4 linked regions of the Drosophila melanogaster genome follow. The protein of the gene in region 4 binds, or shares a complex with, the protein of the main gene of each other region. Each region holds a gene or a part of one and is shown on either strand. Other genes may lie near its edges.

Region 1 (7,566 bases), on a different chromosome or scaffold from region 4:
TGGCTTTTTATTGTATATATTGTTGTCATGACATATGTTTTAAAAAGGTCTAATTGCGAAATCAGTAATCGTCTAAAATGCTAGCAGAGATAAAAAATAATGATTACACAGGTTCACCAAAAGCCTTTATAGAATGAATGTTTTTGATCTCATTTTGTGACAATAAACGATTTCCACGCCTTCACAAACGAAATTCCAGCAATATATGTATGTATGCAACAGGTTAGGGAATGTCAGCGGAACTATCATATTTGGTTACTATTTACATACGTTAACTCGTGAATCTATTCGGATCGCACATGCGTATTTAATGCCAAAAAACCAAAAGATTCAATGCGTCTTATTTGTATAATCCCTTCAGCATATCGAAATGCGAATAGTAATGTTTATTATTCTTTTTGTTTTTGAAAAAACCAATACATTTTTTTTATGTATCCGTTAAAAGTTACCCCAGCGGCCGCCTTGGTCGCCATTTCTAAAGCCGCCGCCTGATCCTCTATTGCTTTCAAATGAGTCTCCAAATCCACCTCTCTTGTTCCCATATCCTCCGCCATTGTTTCCATATCCTCCACCATTATTTCTATAACCTCCGCCATTATTTCCATATCCACCATTATTTCCATAACCTCCTGCATTATTTCCATATCCTCCTCCAATATTTCCATATCCTCCTCCATTATTTCCATATCCTCCTCCATTATTTCCATATCCTCCTCCAAAAGTTCTGCCGTTTCCACGGCGACCAAAGCTGCTGTTAGTAAAGCGTCCTGTCTCAAAGCGACCTCGTTTGGGCGGTCCTCCGCCGTCACTGAACTGACGTGATTGGTGCGGCAGAATTCCTGATTCACGCTGCAGTCCGAAGTCTCCGGCGCTCTTAACGCAAAGGTCTTTGACCACTTTGACCAGCTGTGCATAGGGCTCCTCAAGGCGAAGTATGTCGGAAGGGTTGTCGCACGCCACCGTGATAAGATCCTCCAGGGCCGGCTTAAGGGCACCAATCTTGGCCGCAAGTTCCGGCTCTATGTCGAAGTTAAGCCAGTTGTCAACGCGCACTATATTGTTGGCGGCCAAGTCAATCTTGCGCGATCCAAACAATATCACCTGCAAGGGCGAGACCATAGATAGTTGCTTGCAGGAAACAGCTCGCGTGCGAATCTTCTCGCCGAAAACGAAGAACGGATACGGAAATGTGACGGCCAAGTTGCTGCAATTCACCGAGGTTTTGTGCAGTAACGCTGCTTTAGACTCTGTAGTCAGCACTTTGCGCTTCTCCTTGTGCACGCAAATGTTGGGGTAGAGACCCAAGCACAGCAGCGCCAGGGACACATCCAGCACGGGGTCATCCCCATCAATCCTTTCGTCTACCTCGTGCGATATCATACACTCTTCTGGGAATCCTGCCTGCTGAAGGAGATCCAGTAACTGCTGCTTGGCATCCCAGATAACGTTCATAGTACTCATTTGCAGTCCTTTCCAGTCACAGAACCGAGCTTCCATATGCTCACCGCGTTGTTTCTCGCGCCGCCACATTTGTGAAGCTACAATCATTGCCACGTGGTCGGAACATTTGGTACCACTCAACGCTTTCTGATGATTTGCCAGGCGACGTTGACCTATATCAAGACTAAACACCTCTGAGAAGGTGCTAGAGTACGAAGCCATAATGGCCATTAGATCGGCGCAGCCAAATACTGCGCCGAGGACCATCATCTTTCCAAGTCTTGGTTCAATTGGGAGGCGTGCCAGCAGGCGCCCCAATGGAGTAAGTTCATCGTTAGCGTCAAGGCAGCGCATCTCGCGAAGCAACACCTCAGCTTCGATTACTGCGTCTACCGGAGGTGGCTCCAATGCCTTTGACAAAAAGTGGTGAATGGAGCCCAGTCTGAGTAATTTAATGGTCAACGCCATCTCGTGCAACGGTGTGCGGAACATCTCCGGCGTAAGATTGTCCTCTAGCGCTTGGAAGCGGGCACGCGAACAGAGTGTGAAGCAGAAGCCTGGTCGGACACGTCCAGCTCGGCCCTTGCGCTGCTCCAAATTGGTTTTGCTTGCCCAAACGGTGGCGTAGCTGGTTAGGTTGTTATGTGAAGTAAAGAGCTTCATGCGCGCCTTACATATATCAATTACGAAAACAATGTCGTCAATAGTTATAGAAGTCTCTGCAATGTTGGTAGAAAGTATAATCTTGGTTACGCCTTCTGGAACAGGCTCGAAAACCTTGCGTTGCTCGTCTCGTGGAATCTGCGAGTGGCACGGCAAAATTTGGTATTGGGATGTATCACCAAAAATGTTTGTATTTTGCAGAAACTTCATAAGCGCAAAGATCAGGTTCCAACCGGGCAGGAATACTAAGATAGCACCGGGAATATTTTTTGACTTAATATGCATCAATAATGCCTCCAGCAGCTCAAAGCTAACGTCCGATTCGGATAGCATGGCCATAGCATTTCGAGTCTTTTGTGAATACTTGTCCTCGCACACCTTGTTATAGTTGATTTCCGCCTCGTCCTTGTCCTCGGAAAGCAATTGCTCCTCGTCCTCCACTTCCTTGCGCTTTCGGCGCGACTCCGCCGAAGGCACAAAGTCTGTCATCTGAATAATGTCCTCCAAGAAAAATTGCTGCACGGGAAATGCTCTTCCGGGTACTTCCAATACGGGACAGATGCCAAAATATTTGGAAAATTTCGTTGTATCAATAGTGGCCGACATAAGAATAACTGCAATAGAAGAGTTTCTATTAATTATAGTGTTTTCTAAAAGTCATATCATATTAAATTAGGACTAGAAATGTATGACCCGTAATGCATATAAGTTTTAAGTTCTGAATAGTAATTTTGTTGGGCATAAGTAATTTTGGCAAGTCAACTCTACATTAAATATGAAACACAAACAATTGGCAATGCAAATTTTCAATGGAACAAACTGACAAATCGACTATTAAGAACATAACATATACACTCTGGGCGGATCCGGTACAAACAATATAATCATAATCTTCATTAATTAAGCCAGTGAATTAGTGCAAAATAAGTTATTTTCGCGGCTCAAAATCTGCTCAACATTGCTTTTTATACATGTAAATGTATGTATATATACAATACATATATACAAATGTATGTATATATAAATATATAAGTATAATCAACAATTGTCGAAGAGTTTCACCCCAAGAAATTTGAATGCAGGTTATACATACGGATTTATGTTAGAAATATTGCACCTTATTCGAGCTTACCATGCAGGTCCGGATATGTGTCGACCATGTCGCGAAGGATGACCAGCAAAAAGTCGCTGTTCACGTCTCTCTCGTGGATTTCGTCCACAATAATATGCGACACTCCTCGTAAGCCAGCCTCCAGCTTGCGCAGCAACACACCCACGGTGCAAAAGAGGATTGCGCCGTAGGGTCGTGGAAACACAGACTCAAATCGCACCGAGTAGCCTACAGTGTCGCCCAATTGCTCGCACCGCTCGCGAGCTACGCGCTCGGCCACAGAAATGGCTGAAATGCGACGAGGCTGGGTCACATAAATATTAGCGTACCCGCCCTGGCCGGAGCAGATGTAGTCATCAAGAATGTATTGGGCAATCTGGGTAGTCTTTCCGCACCCTGTGTTTCCACGAATGATTACCACTGGATTGTCATTAATTGCGGTTAAAATTTCCGACCGCATCGCTGCAATGGGCAGCTTTTCGCGGAACTCGAGGAATTGTCGGTACTCGTTGTCGTTTTGGCGGCGATCACGCAGCGAGCGTTCGTAGTCCATCGAAAGGTCATCAATAGAGGTGGTTGCCAGTTCGCCTTCGTCGATGTTGCAGGCATGCCACGTATTCCAGTTTGCCTGAGGAGGAGCCCACGGAATCACGGAGCTTTCCTGACGTTTTTCGCCATCCTGTTGCGAGGAATCTATACGGCTTAAGTTCACCTAGGAGAAAATATTTTACATCGTACACTACATTTTTTGTTCGCAAAAAAAAGGTGGTTTGGGTAGGGCAGCGTATTCCTATGCTCATATAGTAAGGGTATGAATGTAAGAGATAACAGAAATAATCTTGTTCAAGATCACTAGCCAAGTCTATCACAACAAAAGCTTGAAAGTTAAGATTAAAGACGCAGATTTTAGTTATGCTAACGTAGCGTAAAACCTTCTTTGAAATATCTTTTGAACACAGAATTGGATTAGGTCGATTATGGTGTCTGTCGACGCGTATTGAGAGCTATATATAGAAAAAATACAAATGTTACAGCCAAGTATGCAGTACAAATTAATCGAGTTAAAGTATTTGCATTGTTGTTTCGGCATATCAAATATTTTTGAGGGACTGAACGATGTGGGAGTTACTAGCGTATTCCTAAGTATATGACTTACGTAAATCAATATAATAATATATACTTTATAAAGTACTGTTGGATGTCATCAAGAATATTGAAACCGGTATACAACATTTAGCTAATAGTCTTTGTCTGATAAAATCTCTAAACTGTTTTTTAATACTCTGAGATAAGAAATTTAATTCAAATTGCTGATACATTTTTATTTTAGTTTTCTAGTTTCGTATTACTTACAATGAGAGGAATCGGAGGACCGTCCAGTTCGATTTTGATATTGCGCGGGTTTACGACAGGAAGGTCCAAACCCTTAATCACCTCATCAATTTTGTTTATCAGATTTGGCGAAAGCTTCACCGGATATGGCTTCAGCTGCTCATCCTTTTTTTTCTTCAGAGTTCCACTAAAGGGCTCTATCACATTTAAATGGAAAAGTTGGCGCACCAGGGACAGGGCGCATGACTTGCTGGCAGACTTCTTGTTTGAACCCGACTCACGGGCCGTCACCGTGCGATTGAGCGCCGGCACATAAATGGACAATTCGGCCAAAAAGCTCCTACATTAAAAGAACTTTTTGAAAAAATCTGGACTGGTAATGTAGATCAAATCCGGAACTTACCCTCGGGCTATCGTGGGAGTCTACGGACTGCTGAAGGAGCCAGCCGACAGAACGGCGTGGTACTAATGTGTTAGACGCAGCTGGAAAGTCAGCGCTTGAATTATTGTCAGCTAAGCCGCGTTGCATGGGCGTCCGTTTTGCTTACAGACCCCACGCAAGGAAGCTGGACGTGGTTCTTGTAGTTCGGAGTATCGTACCACATCGTTCTGCCGGCGCTGCTCTGCACAAATCAAATTGGTCACAGCCCGACATGATTATGGGCTGCATTTCAGATTTGGCCGTAGGCCATATTCGGTCAAATCCGAAATGCAGGCCGAAGAAAGTTGAAAAGGAAGCACATACCTAGCGTGTTCCGGGCCCACTGGTGTATATTTGTAATCGTCGCGAATGTTGTTCGTCTGCTTGTAAATGTTCAGTCGCTCTTTGGCATTCTCTATGGTCCAGTTACCGTGGATGGCAGCGTTGACATCGAAAGCCTCCGCTTCGTTCATGTCCCTCTGCTCCTGGATGCGATCAATTACTGAGTAGCGGTTACCGCCGTCACCGCCATCGTGGTTTAGAGGGCGATAGGCCTCACCCAGATCCTGTGGACCCGACTGACCATCAAACACTCGCTTCTGCTGTCCACTGCCCCCTGCCATGCCCGCACCCTCCAGACCAGTCCTAGGTCCGCCCCCCGAAGCACCAGCATCCGCTGGAACATCATTGGTGTTCAGTTTGCCCACGCGCACTAGGTAGTTGACAAAATCACGGCACGCATTTTTCTCGGCATCCTTTTTGTTAGTGGAATTACCCACACCAATATAGGTATTTGGCTCTACACGAACCTCGCAAAGGAACCGCTGGCGATTTTTGGGACCTATAAATTAAACTGCTACTTGGGAAACACGCCTGGGGGAGTGCAACATAACCACTTACCCGTTTGGCGAATATCAAACTTTGGTTCTATTTGCGACTTAGCACAAAATTGGTACAAAAAAGATTTTATATCCATTCTTAGATTTTCAATAAACTTTCTATCAACTACGGAGCTCAAATTAAATTTATTTCTTTTGTGATGTCTATTCTGATATCGATTAATTTTTTTGTTGCTTTACAAAACACTAACGCGTCTTGAATCGCCTATCAAAATAGGAACGGATAAAATAGAACAGTGTGTGTAGATATAAAAACATTTAATGTAATTTAATCTAAAATAAAAGAAACCTATAGAGAGACTTAGACATATTTGTATATATTGCACTATAAATAAACAGACAAATTTCTTATATATATACTTTTATTTATTTATTTAAATATAACGTAGAGTATAAAATTTTAAGGTAACTGAAACCTAGATGCATTAGCAGCTAGCACCTTCCATTTTATATTTTTTAAATTAGGTTGGAGCTTTTTAAAAAGTTTCTAATTGTGTTGATGTCAACTGTTCTATGTGGCGAAAGGGAAGAACAGTATGCTAGGATGGGATTAACGTCTAACTGGTTGCAAAGAGCGCATATAAATACATATACATATATATGGGGGACCTGTTCTTGTAATGGTCATTTGTAAGGTTGATGTGATCAAGCCTGAGACTGTTAATAAGAAATATCGTTTTCCTGTTGTGTGATGTGGTGTTGTTGAAAGGAGTTTGATGTGGTATGTTGAAGGATGAGCTTGTATCAGGGAGTTATGTTGTAATGCAGTTCTGTTTGTTTTGAATTGACGTATATGCCTATGTGCCGAGAAGTCTTTTATGTATAAGTAATAAATGAAATATTGCAAAACAAAAGAAACGGAATTCCAATTCAAATTGGTAGACGAATTTTGAGCCGTTTTTTGCGTAAGATGTGTAGGACAGAATATTATCGAATAATTGATATCATATGACTATGTTATGCCCTTCAATCCGTCAAGAAAGATTCCTCATATCATAGCAGGTCTTAGAATCCTTAAATAATTTACGCTAATTTACGATGAAAAAAATAATAATCAGCATAAATAATCATATATTAAATAGTCATTTCTGGCACCAAGAAGACCACTAAACTTGACCAGCGACACGACCATTGATTTCTGTTCAAATAAAAATATCCAAGCTGTTGAAATAAATTAGTATTTTAAAGATGATGACTGAAATTCAGTATTATAGTATATTTGCCCCAGTCTTTTGGTATTTCTCGAGTCCGCGTACTGGTCACACAGCTTTTTGCAACGCGATGGGAAAAAGAGGACGATATTTGAGTTAAAATGTGAATACGGATGCCAGCCCAACTAAATAATAGTGCAATCGCGAGTCACCCATTTAATCGCCTAGTTTGAATTCTTTTTTGCGGCCCCAACGCCGGTACACAGCTGGATTTTTGTTGGTTGCCAGCAGTCCAGCATCACGCACACCCACACGAGCAAATGTAGATAAAAGTGAGAAAACACTCACGCACGCACACACACAGGCACACGTTTGGTCGTGGGCAAGCATTTAATTTCGTTAGTGCCCAGTAAAACAGAGTTGAGCGAAAAGGCGATAGCAACTTGCACAAATTGTAAGCAGTGCAGAGAGTCAGTGAAGAGGGGATCGAGTGAGAGCGGCGTTTAGTGCCAACACCCAAGCGCTGATCTCGCAGCTACAAACAATAAA
Region 2 (6,449 bases), on a different chromosome or scaffold from region 4:
TACGAAATCGCACATCGTCGAGCGGGAATTTGGGGTAAATCCTCAACACGGCAATGTCGTTGCCGCCGAGCACCCTAAACTGGGGATGCCATCTTCTTTCCACGACGAAGAAGCGGGTCTGCTTCCGGCTGTTCAGCGAATCGGCGCCACCAGCCACGTACAGTTGTTTGGTTGGATTCGTTTGGATGCAGTGGGCTGCACTGAGCACGAACTCATTCGAAAGTATAACGCCCACGCAAAGGTGCTTGTAGTATCCTTTAAGGTTCTCTCCTATGGAGACGATGTATGGATAACGAGGGCGGAAACTTATCACCTTCGTGGTCGACACAGTTGTGGCTAACAAAGGTGTGCTATTCTGCGGGGTGTCGGAAAGCGTCTCCTGGGCTGCCGACATCGCGGCGAACCAAGCTATGGAGCAAAGAGATTGCCAACAACACATAACTGCGACCAAGTCACGAATACAAAGACGTCACAAAGACGTCTTGTAGTCAGGTTTTATCATCAAGCATCTTAACTTTATAATTGGGCATGAAATTATAATTTTCTGTATTCTCACATGGTTAACTTTAAAAGAATATACATTTAAATTCCATTATATTATCAAACTTTATAAAGTATAGCAATATTTTTTTTGAAGAGAAAAAGCTTGTACGGTTACTATCTACACGTCTGCAAAATTATGGAAACAGTTCGAAAATAGCTTAAAAGAAAATCCTCATTAGACCCCTATAACCGTGATCAATAGAAATGCTACTTGCTAGTGGCAGAATCTCTGAGGGTCTGCTTCATATTGGCCACCTGGTTGAGCTTGGCAAGGCGCTTCATGGTTTCGAGCTCCTTAATAAACGTGGCCAGCGCCTCTTTTGTGGTCGAGATGTCAGCGTCCTTTAAGTCATCCAACGTGTCCTCCTTTTCAAGTTCTAAAAGAAATTCAAAAATATATATAGATTCATATATACTCGTGACAAAAATTAGTTTTGGATACTAACCGTCCATTTCGGCTTCTATGTCATTCAGCCGATCGAGAACCAAGGATTGCTGCACCTTGATATGCTCGATCAAACGGTACTGGCACTCCTCCGGATCGATGGCAGCTTCCGGTTGCGGAACGTTCGGAAGGTCGGGGGCCTCCAATTTTGCACGCTTAACCGGTGTCAACGCAGTAGAGTCCAGATTGTCTTCGTCCCACTTTTTGGCCCATAGATAAAGCTTCGGATGACAGCGGTTGCGTGCGATGTTAATCTTCACCAGCAGCGAGTGCATCGATCGCTTGGCATCTAGCAAATTGCCGGTCAGCGTGTGCGAGCGCTTCAAGAGCTCGAATTGTTTGGTGGCCTGTGGATTTGCAGTGTGATACGCGGCCACCGGCAACTTGCCTTCGAATAGCCAGTCCTGGTCGTGCTTAAATCTCATAGAATCCCGACCCCTCTGCGGATTGCGACAAATGTAGCACACATACTTGTCCGGTACATCTGCCTCTTTGACAATTCCGTTGCATGCACCGTGTTGCCAGCATAGGCACAATTCACATTGGATCATTAGGCCGTCCTCTTCGCCATACTCGCAGATGCAGTTAATGATCTCCTCCTGCCGCATGCGCACAATTCGAATTAGTTCACCATTTTCCTTGATGTACTGTGGTGCTTTGCTTAACGTTTCAGCTGGTGGTGGGGCAAGGGCTGCATTTATGTCGGTCTGGTCATTAGATGATGGCGTGGACACCGAATCTCCCATGGCTGGTGAGTCAATGGAACTGATGGGAGTTGTTGCCGCACCACTGCGGCGTTTTTTCGAGTCGATGCGCGTATCCGGAGTGGGGGTGTTAAAAGATTGCCGTGTCTCCTCAACATCTTGTTCGGTTAAGCCATGACCAGCCGGGTTATCTGACAAAATGGGACGACGCTGAGAGCGCTGGCGGTTACTCTTTCGCGAGCCAGATGGCCGCTTCGACGGCGACAAGCGTGCACGCTTGCAGGAACGACTCAATGAAGGATTAAACGACTGAGTTGGACCAGCATCCAGAGAAACATCTTCTTGTTTAATGCCACTTTCAACAGTTGGCGACACACTTGGTGGCTCCATCTTAGGAGATAACAGGGCCTTAGTAGGCGTTATGTCAGATGGCGTTGAAGATGTGGCCGTAGCTGATACACTCTGTCGTTTAAACGATCGTGACTGCTGCAAATCCTGCTGGTGCATTTTGGCAAAGAATTGCTGGTTGGGTATTTGGTTTTTTGGCACCGCCTCAACTTGATCGATGGATGAGGGGTGCGTACGTTTGACCGCTAGTTCCTGCATCTTTGGACAGTGGCTGACGTGTCTGTAGATTTAAAGTAAGTTAGGTGTCATGAGTTTTGAATGAATATTACTCACTCTGCAAACTCCTTGTGATAATGGCGAATGTGGATTAGCAGAAAGTCTTCTTTGCGATAGGTCTTGGCGCAATCTTCGCGCGGGCATACATAAAGATTGTCTTGGATTTTGACTTTTAGGCCCCCAATGAAAGCTGAAATATGGAATTATAATTTATTTTAATATAGCACATGTTATTTCAAATTGCATATACTTACCAAAGCCATTTTCCACCACATGAGGATCTGCTAACATAAGCTGAGAGGTACCTCCCTCACTGGCTTCCAGTATTTCTGCTTCTATCTTGGGCTTTGTCTCATCGGCAGGCTGCGTCTGCGGCGACATTAACTCAGCTGGTGGCATAAGCGAGGCCACCGGTGCTTCCATGTACTGGCTTTCTTTCACCGGCATCGGAGTAGAAGGTAAAGAATGTTGCGACGTGATGCTCTGGTCCAGCGTGGAGTTCATCGACACATCCATGGGCCTGGGCTTGGGCGGTGGCTGCGGATTGTAGCCGTGTGTGTAGACGTAAGCATTGATGTCTTTGGCACGACGTCGATGGATGCTAAAGTCGTACACATCCGGGTTGTAGACCAGATTCTGGGACTCAAGGAACAACTTCAAGTCGGACTTGGAGCGGAAACGTTTGCCGCTGGGCGAGACCAGAATAACATCCCACTTGCCGAGGACGTTGGACCGCTGGTACATGTGCTTGATCCAGCCAGGAGGCAGACGCCAATCCTGCACGATAACAGTGGGTTTCTGGTGCTCGCCCACAATCAGAAAACCCTCGGTTCCAATAGGCTGGTCATTTACCCAATGACAAGTCCACTCGCCGTCATGCGGTATTTCTGGGAGTCCAAGGGATGCTGTTGGTTACGAAAGTCAAACATGAAAGTTAAGTTTAAGGCAAAACTAACATTCTCCTTTCGGTGCTCTTACCTATATCCAAACTGGCCATGTCCAGCAACGGCCAATCCCTGCGCTGAGGTGCACATTTGCTCTTCTTGCTGCCCGAAGAGCCACTGGATCCGCCAAGGCTGCCTGTGCTCGCCCGCTTCGGAGCCACAGGTGCAGAGCTTACTGGAGTTCCAACAGGAGTGGGTGACTTTGAGGCACCCTCTTCCGCTACCTGAACAGGGGGCAACTGCTTGGGCATCTTGTTCATGTGCACGGCGCGCACGTTCTTAACGTAACCATCGTCGAAGAGAACCTCGTAGGTATCGTTGCCCAGCAACTTGCGTATGGTTCCTGGAAACTTACGCGGCCCCGACCAGCGGGCCATGCACTTCTCGTCCAGCTCAAAGACGGGCAGCACACGGTTGCTGAGGCGCTGCCTCAGCCGCTCCGACTTGATGGCCATCCACTCCTGAAAGCTGCCGCTGGTCGAAGGTGACACCTTTAGCTTGTGATTGCGCTCAAAGCGCACGAGTAGCGTCTGCTCCGTCTCGTTAACTTCCACGATGCGGGCGGGCAACCAGTTGCCTTCCACACTGAGCGCCTCCAAACGGGCGCCAATAGTCAGGTTATGTGGGTTGCTGTACTTGGGCGGTGTGCCGGGCAAAGGTGAGTTCGAACTGGAAGCGGATCCAGGAGCTGGGACTGTGGCTTCGCTGCTTGCGGCTACCGGAGTCCCTGAGGGTTCCTTTGCAGCTGCCTTGTTTGCATCTTCTCCACTTTCGGGAGTATTTTTAACGTCATCCGCCGCCTTGCCTGTTTTACCTTCCTCCGTGGCCTTGCGTTCTGCAGATTCCGACAGGATTTGCGCAACTATTTGGTCTACCGTAGCTTTGATCACATCGTCATTGGTCGATGACTGAGCATTTCCCGGGGTTTCAGTCGTTCCCTCCACGCTGGCGTGCTGAAGTGCCCGTTGGTCTGCTTCGATCTCCGCGGTATCCATCTTGCCCCATGGAAAAACGGTGGGAAAGACGCGCGGCTTGAGCAGATACTTCCCATTGCGGATAGTGTTGAAGTCCAAACGGCGGAAGTGGCGTGAGCAGACCAGCACGCTCTTGGTGATCTGGCGCTCCAGGCTGATGCGAGAGTTTTTGATCCATATGGCGCGGATGATGGGATCTAGGGGGAAGGAGTGGTAAGTCACGCCGTTGTGCTCCAACAGACGCGACGTCGACGGGCAGTTGGCCACGCAGCACCGGCGGCCCATGGCGATGAAGTTCACCCAATTCTCTATTTTGTTTGCCTATGTGCAAACGCACACTTTGCTAAGTGATGAAATAATCCAGGAAACGACGCGAAAATTATCCAGAAAAATACAGCGCAATAAATTAGTGATACCAAATTGGGGTACAGTAAAAACGTGTGCGTCGGCAAACTATCGATAGTTAGATATTGCCACCTTGTTGGAAAAGTTCAAAACTATTTAACGATATTTTTTGAATTTTATAAAAAATAAATTTTAAATGACTTTATTGCATAGATCTTTATTGTGGTGATAAATAAATACTACTTTCGATAAATAAATAAATATTACTTTAGAGCCTGAGTAGGTTGAATTTAATTACTTTTTATTTCTGACTATCTCAATTTTCATGAAACTTTACATCAATCTTCCTGCCATAAATTAACTATTAAAGTTGGTAAATACCCGCTGCACAATTAATATTAATCGGTGCGTTAATGCATTTTAGCGAAGTGAGGGTGCCATAAATTTCCTCAGCTCGGCGGAAAAAGGATCACGTGCCGATACGCCACCGTTCCCAAGGCCACCGAAAGCCTATTTGAAATGCAATTAATGTACGCTTTTGGGCTTACATGTCACCACGTTCGCCAAAAGGCAGACACCTTGCAAAAAGCTAACCAAATACGATATTATCCATTCGACAAATGCTTCTGGAAATATGTATTTCAACACTGGGTTTCAAAGTTTGAGGAGCAGCTATTTACGCATACTGCTAAAATAAACACTCATTGTAGTTTTTAATTACAATATTTCACCCGGTCATTAGCATGCAAGAAACAACTGACAAATTTAAATGTGGCGCCTGCTGCTTGATCGGTTGATTGAGCCGCCAAAAAAATCGATTGAAGTATGGAGCTTTGGCCTTCAAATCGAAATATGTGAGGAAAATGTGATGGCACATTTTGAAAGAATAAAATATTAAGATTCTCTATATTGTGTCAATATCTTATGTATATATGTGGCTTGACCCCTCGAATTCCGTAACTAAACAGTTTAGTTCCATTACAAATATTGTTTTAGAATGATAGCCGGAAACTCACGGTCGAAGAGCTTCCTGTTTTTGGGTACTTCCCTGAAAACGAGGTCTCTGGGTCAATCGGTTGACTTTTAGATCTTGGGCGTGTTTGCGAAATTGACACGGAGCCAATATCAAATGGTGTTGACTTTGATTCAGTGGATTGCCAATATTTGTAATCAAATCACGGCTGGAGCATAAAGCAAACTTTAATTATAAAATGCTTTTATTGTCATATGCAGCTGACATAAATATTAAATAACGTGAGTAATTGACGTTGCTAAGCCGAATAATTTAGCATTTTATAAATTTTGGTCAGTCAAAAACTGACATTGAGGGGGCCACTCGAAGGGAAATCCAAAATGGGTGGTAAACACGGTTAGATTTCCGTTTGCATAACTATTAGTGAACATATTTGCATAAATTATCGACACTCGATGAAATTGGGACGACTGCACCTGACCTCACTCTCTTTTTGTGCAAATAATTCAACAATATGTAACCTGTGCAAAAATATTTTTCAAAAACAGAAAACCGAAAACAGAAATATGTACAAGGAGAGTACAAAACTTTTGGTCCAACTGACGGCGGCACTTTCTCCTTTAATATTTACCCAACTCATCGACAAATTGGCCAGGCCCATTCCCCAGCCTCATCTCATCGGTCCCAGCCGCATAGCCCATAAGTCAGCCCCTTCTCCCTCTCCCTCTCCCGATCCCGATCCCCATTCCGATACCGTCTGGGAACTCATTGCGTAAATATGAGGGCATGCAATGCGGTAATAGGCTGGCTGCGCGTCTCTTGACAGTTGGGCCCAGTTTCCCGGTTCCTTATCACATGATTATTACCCAAAAATATTATCGCTAAATGATGATGATC
Region 3 (4,852 bases), on a different chromosome or scaffold from region 4:
CAGGTCTCCAGATATCGTGCTCTCCGACGAGTTGATGGCATCGATGGTTGCTCGGGCTGCTGTGTGGCGAAGACGCCACAGCTCCACTTGGAAACTTCCGTAGGTTGCTGGAATAGGAAATGAAAGAATAATCTTGATTAGAACAATAACTATATAAAATTGTGTTATGAAAATAAGAGGGTTACTTACATTTGGCCTGCTGCTTCTCCCTTGCCGCCTGCTCCACAAAGATGGAGCTCTTCTTGGGCTTATCCAAAATCGAGGCATCCACGATGGATTTGTTATCGCCCAATGCTCGCTTGTTCGCCAAATCACCGGCCTTGGGCTCAAAGCGGGACACACGTCTCAGGATCTTAACCACGATACCACCAGATTGAGTAACGAGCGTGAGGACGTGATCCTCCATGCCCATTCGTCCGTACAGCATGGCATCCACCGTCTCCTCGAGAACAAACTCGTCGACGAGGTAGCGCTGCAAATAAAACTTGACCACTCCTCCTCTAAGGGCAATGGCCACCAGGGTGAGTCCCAGATGGGTCAAGGGCAGCGGTAGGAGGCAAACGGGTAGATCGGACATGGGCACCTGGTATAACAGCTTGCCCCGCTTTGAGTAGCACAGATAGCGATTGTCCATGGTGGAGGCGATTATCGTCTGATCGATGGGCAGCAGTAGGAGGCCGGTTAGGGGGATGCCGAGCTTGAAGATCTCCTGTCCCTCCGATTGGCTTTTCCGCAGGAGGTAGACACCGCCATTTCGCGTGGCCACCACGATGCAGAAATCCGTCTCAAAGGTTCCCTGCACGGAGATCAGGCTCGGCACGGCCGTCTCATCATCGCAGGCCTTGCCCTGGTAAACCAAATTGAAGCCCTGCGGCTCCAGGATCATGATGTGCCCGGTATCGGTGGCCAGGACCAAGTGGGACGGGGGATTGGCATCGCTGGAGATGCGCTTTATGCAGCACATGGCCACAATGTTGCCAACCCGACCCACTGGGGAGTCCTTGTGCGTGGCAATGAAGTGCTCCCGCTCCTGCTCGCCCATTTGCAGAAGTCGCTGCGATTTCCGCGACAGCTTGGAGTGGTCTATGGTTTTTAGGGAGTCAAGCAGGGCGGGATGGGCACTTGGCTTCACAACCGGCAGTTTTCGCCATACCTCCAGCTCCAGATCCTCGGAGTCCTGTGCGGGAATCGTGTACTTGAAGTATGGCTTTAGGTGACGATAGAAGAGCACTGACTCAGCGATGGCCACGGCAATTACTGGAAAATTGTATTCATTATGGAATCTAATTTAAAAATATTAAAATGCAACGTTATTTCTACCCGGCGTCTTGGGCTCCGTTTCGTCGATGTAGAGACTTTCAATGGCCGCTGGAATCCCCGGCAGTGGCTGCTCGTGCTTGAGTTTAAGACCACGGAAAACCTTCAGCGTGGCAGTGGGCTCCTCGGCGGCATTGTCCAGTGAAATGTCCGCCGCCAGCAGCCGGACATATCCGTCGCACTGCACGTCGCTCAGGGCCATGCAACTGGTGAGGGTGGTGAGATGCGGTGGAGGAGCCTCCTCCGCCGTGTCCACGTGAAGCCAGTTGGGAGCACCGGCCATGGCAGGATCTTGGTGAAAAATTTGCAGCACAGTGTGAAAACGAACAGGTGATTCAGGACATGCTTTTGTTTTGGTTTTTCTTGTCCTTAGCAACCGGGATGACAGCACATTTTTTGTTACTTATTTGGGTTTTTTCTTAAAAACACAAAATGATCGTCAGCATTATTCTTAAATGCTAACAGGGTAAAGCTACGTATAACTAAAAAATCATTTGGCAAAAGGTAAAACTGTGATCAAATTACTGATGATAGAAAATTTTATTTAAATTGGCCGCCAAAAATGCATTTTGTCTGGTCACACTTAAGGCCGGCCTGCTAAAGACGTGCAAGCATCGACAGTATGTGTTATCGATAAGTGCGAGGGAATATTCGATACCCACGTCAATTGCTTATCGCAAAAAACATTCGTTATAAATATCATCTCAGCGACGCCAGCAGTTGAATTCAATATTTAACATTTTGTATACATAAGTGACTGACTACGGCCCTATTTAACTGCAAGTAATGACGGAGCTAAGGGACGAGACACCGCTCTTTCACAAGGGCGAGATAGTCCTTTGCTACGAGCCGGATAAATCGAAGGCCCGTGTTCTTTACACCAGCAAGGTAAATACACATGCACACACACACACACGCGCGCGCATTGAAATGTCAAGCAAACGTCGTAGGCGAAGTTTTCACAAATGATTTTCCGTTTCCCGCAATTTTCCGTACATGCCGCAGGTGCTAAACGTCTTTGAGCGCCGGAACGAGCATGGCCTGAGGTTCTACGAGTACAAGATTCACTTCCAGGGCTGGCGTCCATCCTACGATCGCTGTGTGCGCGCCACCGTTCTATTGAAAGACACCGAGGAGAATCGCCAGTTGCAAAGGGAGCTGGCCGAAGCTGCCAAGCTGCAAATGTAAGATAACCCCCTAGACATGCGTGGAATACCTCTCTAACGAGTTCCCCCTTCTTTTTCGCACAGTCGTGGTGACTACTCCTACAAGGGCACACCCGATAAGCCATCGGCCAAGAAGAAACGCGGCGGAAAAGCGGCCCACGTTGAGGAGCCAATAGTGGTTCCAATGGACACGGGACATCTTGAGGCGGAGCACGAAATGGCGCCCACTCCACGAGCAGCGGGCAACCGGACGCGGGACAACAGCGGTGGCAAGCGAAAGGAAAAACCCCCGTCCGGAGATGGCCGATTAAAGGGAAACCGGGGCAGACAAACAGAGACCTTTTATAACAATGCCATAAATGATGTATCGGTCTATAACCATGTGCCACAGGAGGATCGCATTATGATGCGAGTCAGCGAGCGATTGCGAGAGCTTATAGAGTACGATCGGAATATGATCAAGGTACTAGGCAAACAGCACGCACTGCCCGCCCGCGTGCCCATCGTGACCATCATGGAAAACTTCGTCAAGCAGCAGGCCGTGGAGCTAGCCATTAGCATTAAACAGGACAGCTCGAGGGCCAGGAACACGCAGAGTCGCAATGCCAGAATGGAGCGGGAATACGATCGCGTTATGTCCACGTTGGTTACCACTCAATATCAGACTTAACAACCCACTTATACTCTTACTTATTAACAGTGTCTGCATGCTGAAGGAGGTGGTAGACGGATTGCGTATCTACTTTGAGTTCCACGTGGATGACCACTTGCTGTATACGGAGGAGAAGGAGTATGTCCACAACTACCTCACAGACGACAACATGCGCAACTGCAGCCTAATATTGAACAAGTCGTACGAGTATATCAATCCCAGCGGTGACACGGAACTGATCGGTCTGGACGGCACGCCAGTGGTAGAAGGGTCGGGCGACACCAATGGACAGATCGGAGTTATTAATATCGGCGGTCCGGAGTACGAGAAGCAGTTGCAAAAATGCCTGCTCTACATTGTTACCGCCAGCGGGAAAAACACTGCGCAGGCCTATGAGAGGACTTCCCCATATACGGCTGCCTACAAACTGCCCGTGGAGATGCGTGGATTTCTGAACGAAACATTCAAGTGGCGGCTTTTGTCAGCGGAATCGCCGCCAGAAAAGTCCATGGTCTTTGGCGCTCCCCACCTGGTTAGGCTAATGAGTATGTACAATCTTTCTTGCATTCTATAACACACATTAATTCATGGTACTTGCAGTTAAAATGCCCATGTTCTTAAACGCATCGCCGATCAGCAACAAGAAGCTAGAAGATCTACTTCCCCACCTCGACGCCTTCATCAAGTAAGTCTAAGACCCCTCCCTAGTCCATCACGAAGCTAATCTGTTGGTTTTTCAGCTACTTGGAGAACCACAGGGAGTGGTTCGACAGGGAAAACTTTGTTAACTCCACTGCCCTGCCCCAGGAAGATCTGCAGCGGGAGCTGTTGGACTCCCTGGATGGGATTGCTGCTTAGCTTTAGTTGATCGTAGTTATCTAGTTTATTTATTATTACGATTAAAGCTTATGCTCTTTTATTTAAAGATTTGTAATTGTCGTTTTGGTTTCTTCAACTACACACTTTGTAAACAACGCACTTCTATAAAAAAGTTTCCTAATGTGATCGTATAATCGAATAATGCCTATAACTATATATGTTAAATATTGAAAATACGATTTTAACATTTTTTTTTGTTTTTTTTTTTTTTTTTGCTTAACCTAAGTTTTAGTTGAGTAGTACATGCTAGTATTTTTGTCATGCCTTGTTTTTTGTGCTCAAATATATTTAAGAGTTGGAAAGTTGTTGTCTTTTGTATTAAGGATTTGCGGACCTTGAGTTGGAATGTGCAGGGAATTCTTAAGATTTGTATAATTTCTCAAAATATTGCAACTGTAACAACTATGTGTGTGCTGATTTGTGTTTCAGATCCTGCTTAGAAATTCGAAATTGTCGCTTGGACGGCTTGGAGTTGGATGCATTCGCGTTTGTAACATGTGTAAACTTGGGACGTTAACTTGGACGATGACTGAACTGGACTGGACTGCCGGCCCTCACTTCTGTCGCTTGGTGGCACTGCTGGCCGTGGGTCGCATGAAGCTGCTCACGGATCGACTGCTGCTAGTGCTCCTCTGCTGCGGACTGGGGTTCGCACTCATCCTGGCCTGCTGCTGCTGGTTCAGGGCATTTTTCACCAGCACCACGCTGCGAGCGGCGCTCATTCGGGACTGTGACTGGGGTTGGGACTGGGACTGGTTTTCCTTAAAACTGGTGCTACCATGGATACTCGATTTCGGAGCCGTGTTGGACATCTTGCTGCGCACCAAGATCACACTGG
Region 4 (5,460 bases):
GTTTGCAGCGATTGGTGCGTTCCGAGGCCCACACACCGGATTCGCCTGCCTCTGTTTGCGAACGCGACGGAAACGATCGCCTGGGATCCGTGCTTCTGGATGCCGTTTCGCCAGGGACACCCTTTGGCTTTCCGCTCGTCAGCAATCCGGATTCCTTGGCTACGCCTATGTTGGGCGGCGAGCGTTCGTCGCGACCGCGACTTCCACAATCCCAACAGCAGCAGGATGAGGGTCTGAATCGCCGGGTGTCCAGCTCCTGTCGATCGCTAGAGCGCCTGCATCGCGGACCAGGTCGGGTGTCCATCTGGTCCAACATGATGCCCAGCCAAGTGGCGCATCCGTTTCAGGGCGCCATGGGCGCACAGATCGTGTGCAATGGCTGCGGCTCCAAGTCGGCCGTTCGGTACGATAAGTTCGACAGCATAACGCTAAATCTGCCGCCGCAACGCAGAACTGGCTTGAGTTTGGGCCACTTGCTTAGCGAGTATATCACATCGGAGGATCTGAGCGATGTCAAGTGTGACTCCTGCAACGAGACCACCACGCACACCAAATCGGTTACGTTCGCTAAACTACCGGCCTGCCTGTGCATCCATGTGGCGCGGACGGTGTGGCTGCCAACTGGACAGGTGTGCAAGCGGAAGGACTATGTACACTTCCCCGAGAGCCTCTCCATGGCGCCCTACAGCTTCGTGCAGCCGCATCTCAATAGCCAGGTGAGCGTGTGTTGCATATGTTTGCCCCAGAATAACAAACTTCCCCTGTAAAAATTATCCTTATATATGATCATTTAAATACATATATCTAAAGGATATATATGTATAGGATATATCTATAGAATATAGGTCTTTCCTTTTCTAATTGGTGTACAAAGAGTAGTGGCATTCAATTCAAGAACTGTTTACATTTAGTAACTAGCATATTGTTAAAACAAACACTTTTGCTCATGATTACAGGCTGGCACTCCCTGGGGCTCGACAATGTCGCTGTATTCCTCCAGCCTGCCGATGAACAATGGCGTTGGTGGTGGCGAGGGCTTTGGCACGATGTTCCCCAAGAATCTTTACCGGCTTCTGGCCGTGGTGGTGCACTCCGGGGAGGCAAACAGCGGTCACTTTGTAACCTACAGGCGTGGCTCGTTGCGGAACGCACATCGGTATGGTTTCCATTGCCTCTGTGTAATAATTATGCTAATTCTGTGCTATCCTTATTAGGTGGTACTACACATCGGATACAATTGTGCGGGAGGTGAGCATCGACGAGGTGTTGAGCGTCCCCGCCTATCTTTTATTCTACGATCGTGGCCAGCAGAGGCAGCTAAATCTGCGCTAGTCAGGTGTAGGTCGTCGGTATTATTCTAGTCCATACTTTTGATGTGATGAATATGAATATCCGAAACCAAATCCTTTTCGTCGAACGGTGGCCATAGCAAACACGCGTCACATTTATATAGATATATATACATAACTCATATAAGTACGGGAACCCACGATGATCTGACCTATACTCGGCGGGTTCATGTAATGGTCTCCGCATAATCCAAACTCTGTGTACGGCTTATTGCATATAGGAACTCCCTATCGTAACAGAGAGCTCGACTCTTCATTTGTTATCTATGCATTTAAGATTTTTTAAGAATTCCAAATTCATGCCGTGCTTTTAGCTGTCTGTATTTAGCAATGTACACAAATCAACTACCAATAATTGTTTGCGCGTTAATTCTGTAGGATAGATGTTCAATAAAAATTTCGAAATCAGTTCCAATTTTTTAAAGTGCTTTCTCTGAAGGTTTTGGATAAATAAAATATATTATAATACTGAATGCACAGAAAAATCCAGAAGGGTAATTTCAAAAAGGGTGCAAAGTATTGTACATCGATAACCACCGATTAATAATCGATTATCTGGACATGTTGTGATAAATCAGGGTTGCATTTCACGCCGTATTTCGTTTCATTTCCCTAAAGAGTGAACAAAAATACGCAATTGGACAAATCTAGTGGCTAAGAATGTCTGAAGCGGAGCTGGAACAGACACCCAGCGCGGGCCACGTGCAGGAGCAGCCGATTGAGGAGGAGCATGAGCCGGAACAGGAGCCAACCGATGCGTACACAATTGGCGGTCCGCCGAGGACGCCGGTTGAAGATGCGGCGGCCGAATTGAGCGCCAGTCTAGACGTCAGCGGCTCGGATCAGTCGGCGGAGCAGTCGCTCGACCTCAGCGGTGTCCAAGCGGAGGCCGCGGCGGAGTCAGAGCCACCGGCGAAGCGCCAGCATCGCGACATCAGTCCCATTTCGGAGGACAGCACGCCGGCGAGCAGCACATCGACTAGTTCCACCAGGTCGTCCAGCTCCTCCCGCTACGACGATGTTAGCGAGGCGGAGGAGGCACCACCGGAGCCCGAGCCGGAGCAACCACAGCAGCAGCAGCAGGAGGAAAAGAAGGAGGACGGTCAGGATCAGGTGAAGTCACCAGGTCCAGTTGAATTGGAGGCACAGGAGCCCGCGCAGCCGCAGAAGCAGAAAGAGGTGGTGGACCAGGAAATTGAAACCGAGGATGAGCCCTCCTCCGATACGGTAATCTGCGTGGCCGACATCAACCCCTACGGCAGTGGTTCCAACATTGACGACTTCGTTATGGATCCCGATGCTCCTCCCAATGCAATAATCACCGAGGTGGTTACCATTCCAGCTCCTCTTCATCTCAAAGGGACACAACAACTGGGGCTGCCATTGGCTGCCCCACCGCCACCACCACCTCCTCCAGCAGCGGAACAAGTCCCCGAGACTCCCGCCTCGCCCACAGATGACGGCGAGGAACCACCAGCAGTATATTTATCCCCCTACATACGCTCTCGCTACATGCAGGAATCGACACCTGGCCTGCCCACCCGCCTGGCGCCGCGTGATCCTCGCCAGCGCAACATGCCGCCGCCAGCCGTAGTTCTGCCCATTCAAACCGTACTTAGCGCCAACGTTGAGGCCATTTCTGACGACAGCAGCGAAACTAGCAGCAGCGATGACGATGAAGAGGAAGAGGAGGACGAAGATGATGCCTTGACCATGGAGCACGACAACACTTCCAGGGAGACGGTCATCACAACAGGTGACCCTCTGATGCAAAAGATCGATATAAGCGAAAATCCCGACAAGATCTATTTTATTCGGCGCGAGGATGGCACCGTGCACCGTGGCCAGGTGCTTCAGTCTCGCACCACTGAGAATGCGGCCGCTCCCGATGAGTACTACGTCCACTATGTTGGTCTCAATCGCCGCCTGGACGGATGGGTGGGCAGGCATAGGATCTCGGACAATGCGGATGACTTGGGCGGTATTACCGTGCTGCCAGCGCCACCATTAGCCCCCGATCAGCCAAGTACTAGCAGGGAAATGCTCGCCCAACAGGCCGCCGCGGCGGCAGCTGCCTCATCCGAACGGCAGAAGCGTGCGGCCAACAAGGATTACTATCTGTCCTATTGCGAGAACAGTCGCTATGACTACAGCGACCGCAAGATGACACGCTACCAGAAGCGGCGCTACGATGAGATCAACCACGTGCAGAAGAGCCACGCTGAGCTGACCGCCACGCAGGCGGCGCTGGAGAAGGAGCACGAGTCCATTACGAAGATCAAGTACATTGATAAGCTGCAGTTTGGCAACTACGAGATCGACACCTGGTACTTTAGTCCCTTCCCCGAAGAATATGGCAAGGCACGTACGTTATATGTTTGCGAGTACTGCCTAAAGTACATGCGCTTCAGGTCGAGCTATGCCTATCATCTGCACGAATGCGACCGCAGGCGTCCGCCCGGAAGAGAGATCTACCGCAAGGGCAATATATCCATTTACGAGGTGAACGGCAAGGAGGAGTCACTATACTGCCAACTTTTGTGTCTGATGGCCAAGCTCTTTTTGGACCACAAGGTTCTATACTTCGACATGGACCCGTTTCTCTTTTACATCCTTTGCGAGACGGACAAGGAGGGCAGTCACATTGTGGGCTATTTCTCCAAGGAAAAGAAGTCGCTGGAAAACTACAACGTGGCCTGCATTCTGGTATTGCCGCCGCATCAGCGTAAGGGATTTGGAAAGCTACTAATAGCCTTTAGCTATGAGCTGTCGCGCAAGGAGGGCGTAATCGGTAGTCCGGAGAAACCGCTCTCGGATCTGGGTAGGCTGAGCTATCGCAGCTATTGGGCATACACGCTGCTGGAGCTGATGAAAACCCGCTGCGCTCCAGAGCAGATCACAATCAAGGAGCTGAGCGAAATGAGTGGCATCACCCACGACGACATTATCTACACGCTGCAGTCCATGAAGATGATCAAGTATTGGAAGGGCCAGAATGTCATTTGCGTTACGTCCAAGACCATTCAAGACCACCTCCAGCTGCCGCAGTTCAAGCAGCCCAAGCTGACCATCGACACCGATTACCTCGTCTGGAGTCCGCAAACTGCAGCGGCAGTGGTCAGAGCTCCGGGAAATTCCGGCTAGCATACGGAACCTGGAGACCCCGTTCTGCTATCATCGCATATAATTGTTATTGACGATGACGATTAGGTTTTTTTTTTTTATTTTTTTTTAAAGAAAGCGTAGGAATAAGCTATTCTATTGCACCCCTCCAAACGAAAAATGTATAGTCATATATCTAAATGGAACCATCAGAAGGTTCAATGTAATACTTAACATTTGGTTTACAATTTTTTTTTTTTATAGTTAAGGAGTTTTACGGATAGGCTGTTGTAACTCTTAATGATAGAACCAAATGTCTAATTCGTTTGGCTAATGTTTTTGGAGAGGGAATTTGGAACAACCATTTAAAAATTTTAAAAACTTCTGTGTTCTTGAAATATATATCTTTAACTACTTTATCTCGAAAAACTCTGGACTTGTTAAAAACCAAATAAACTTCCACAGCAGCCGATATGCCGACGCCTGAAGAGAATACATCTCTATGAACTCCTTACACGTAAGATAGCATAATCTCTCCACGGTACATTTTTATACACTATAATTAAGGAAGAGAATCCATAATATCTTTTAGGCTACACATTAGGTTAAGTTCAGAAAGAACTGAACGATTCCTACTGACTAATGAACAATAATAAATGATTTAAACTGTAAAAAAGAAAAACTCCAATCTGAGAACATGATGTACTTTCTCAAATAAATGCGTCGTTACATTAACGTCAAAAAGAGGAAAAATTAAATAAATATTTACAACGACAGGTTATTCTTTTCATTATTTTTGCAACACATTTCTTGTAGGTTAGCTTAATATGTATATTTTGATATAATAAAAAATATATATAGAAATATCGAAAACATTGGAAAAACAAGTTTAAAATTTCGAGCATTAAAATCCATTGCTAACCCTCTCCTCCCTAGCGTCATAAGCAATCGGTTATCGAGGTTATCGATAACGCCCGCATCGATACAATTCCGCCGGCTTGTCCGATTC

Evidence for each region.
Region 1: mof (region 4) and mle share a complex: the UniProt entries of both Drosophila melanogaster proteins name them as parts of the male-specific lethal (MSL) histone acetyltransferase complex.
Region 2: mof (region 4) and MBD-R2 share a complex: the UniProt entries of both Drosophila melanogaster proteins name them as parts of the non-specific lethal (NLS) histone acetyltransferase complex.
Region 3: mof (region 4) and msl-3 share a complex: the UniProt entries of both Drosophila melanogaster proteins name them as parts of the male-specific lethal (MSL) histone acetyltransferase complex.

What each region holds. Positions count from the first base shown.
Region 1 is NT_033778.4:5,974,752-5,982,317, forward strand, and holds mle (maleless), read right to left. Parts: upstream 6,028-7,566; 5' UTR 5,944-6,027; coding exon 5,868-5,943; intron 5,809-5,867; coding exon 5,292-5,808; exon of another isoform or gene 4,950-5,291; intron 4,887-4,949; coding exon 4,568-4,886; intron 3,927-4,567; coding exon 3,236-3,926; intron 2,718-3,235; coding exon 439-2,717; 3' UTR 343-438; downstream 1-342. UniProt on the Drosophila melanogaster protein: RNA helicase component of the male-specific lethal (MSL) histone acetyltransferase complex, a multiprotein complex essential for elevating transcription of the single X chromosome in the male (X chromosome dosage compensation).
Region 2 is NT_033777.3:12,351,625-12,358,073, forward strand, and holds MBD-R2 (MBD-R2), read right to left. Parts: upstream 4,642-6,449; 5' UTR 4,520-4,641; coding exon 3,295-4,519; intron 3,222-3,294; coding exon 2,571-3,221; intron 2,507-2,570; coding exon 2,374-2,506; intron 2,321-2,373; coding exon 990-2,320; intron 921-989; coding exon 751-920; 3' UTR 519-750; downstream 1-518. Other genes in the region: CG10041 (uncharacterized protein), read right to left, coding at 1-439. UniProt on the Drosophila melanogaster protein: Component of the non-specific lethal (NLS) complex, a multiprotein complex that promotes expression of housekeeping genes on X chromosome and autosomes.
Region 3 is NT_037436.4:7,122,674-7,127,525, reverse strand, and holds msl-3 (male-specific lethal 3), read left to right. Parts: upstream 1-1,992; 5' UTR 1,993-2,103; coding exon 2,104-2,205; intron 2,206-2,322; coding exon 2,323-2,501; intron 2,502-2,567; coding exon 2,568-3,125; intron 3,126-3,183; coding exon 3,184-3,680; intron 3,681-3,735; coding exon 3,736-3,820; intron 3,821-3,875; coding exon 3,876-3,993; 3' UTR 3,994-4,313; downstream 4,314-4,852. Other genes in the region: BBS1 (Bardet-Biedl syndrome 1), read right to left, coding at 1-107, 190-1,257, 1,321-1,600; form3 (formin 3), read right to left, coding at 4,569-4,852. UniProt on the Drosophila melanogaster protein: Component of the male-specific lethal (MSL) histone acetyltransferase complex, a multiprotein complex essential for elevating transcription of the single X chromosome in the male (X chromosome dosage compensation).
Region 4 is NC_004354.4:5,873,302-5,878,761, reverse strand, and holds mof (males absent on the first), read left to right. Parts: upstream 1-1,908; 5' UTR 1,909-2,009; coding exon 2,010-4,493; 3' UTR 4,494-4,922; downstream 4,923-5,460. Other genes in the region: Usp30 (ubiquitin specific protease 30), read left to right, coding at 1-716, 957-1,156, 1,215-1,332. UniProt on the Drosophila melanogaster protein: Histone acetyltransferase that catalyzes the formation of the majority of histone H4 acetylation at 'Lys-16' (H4K16ac), an epigenetic mark that prevents chromatin compaction and constitutes the only acetylation mark intergenerationally transmitted.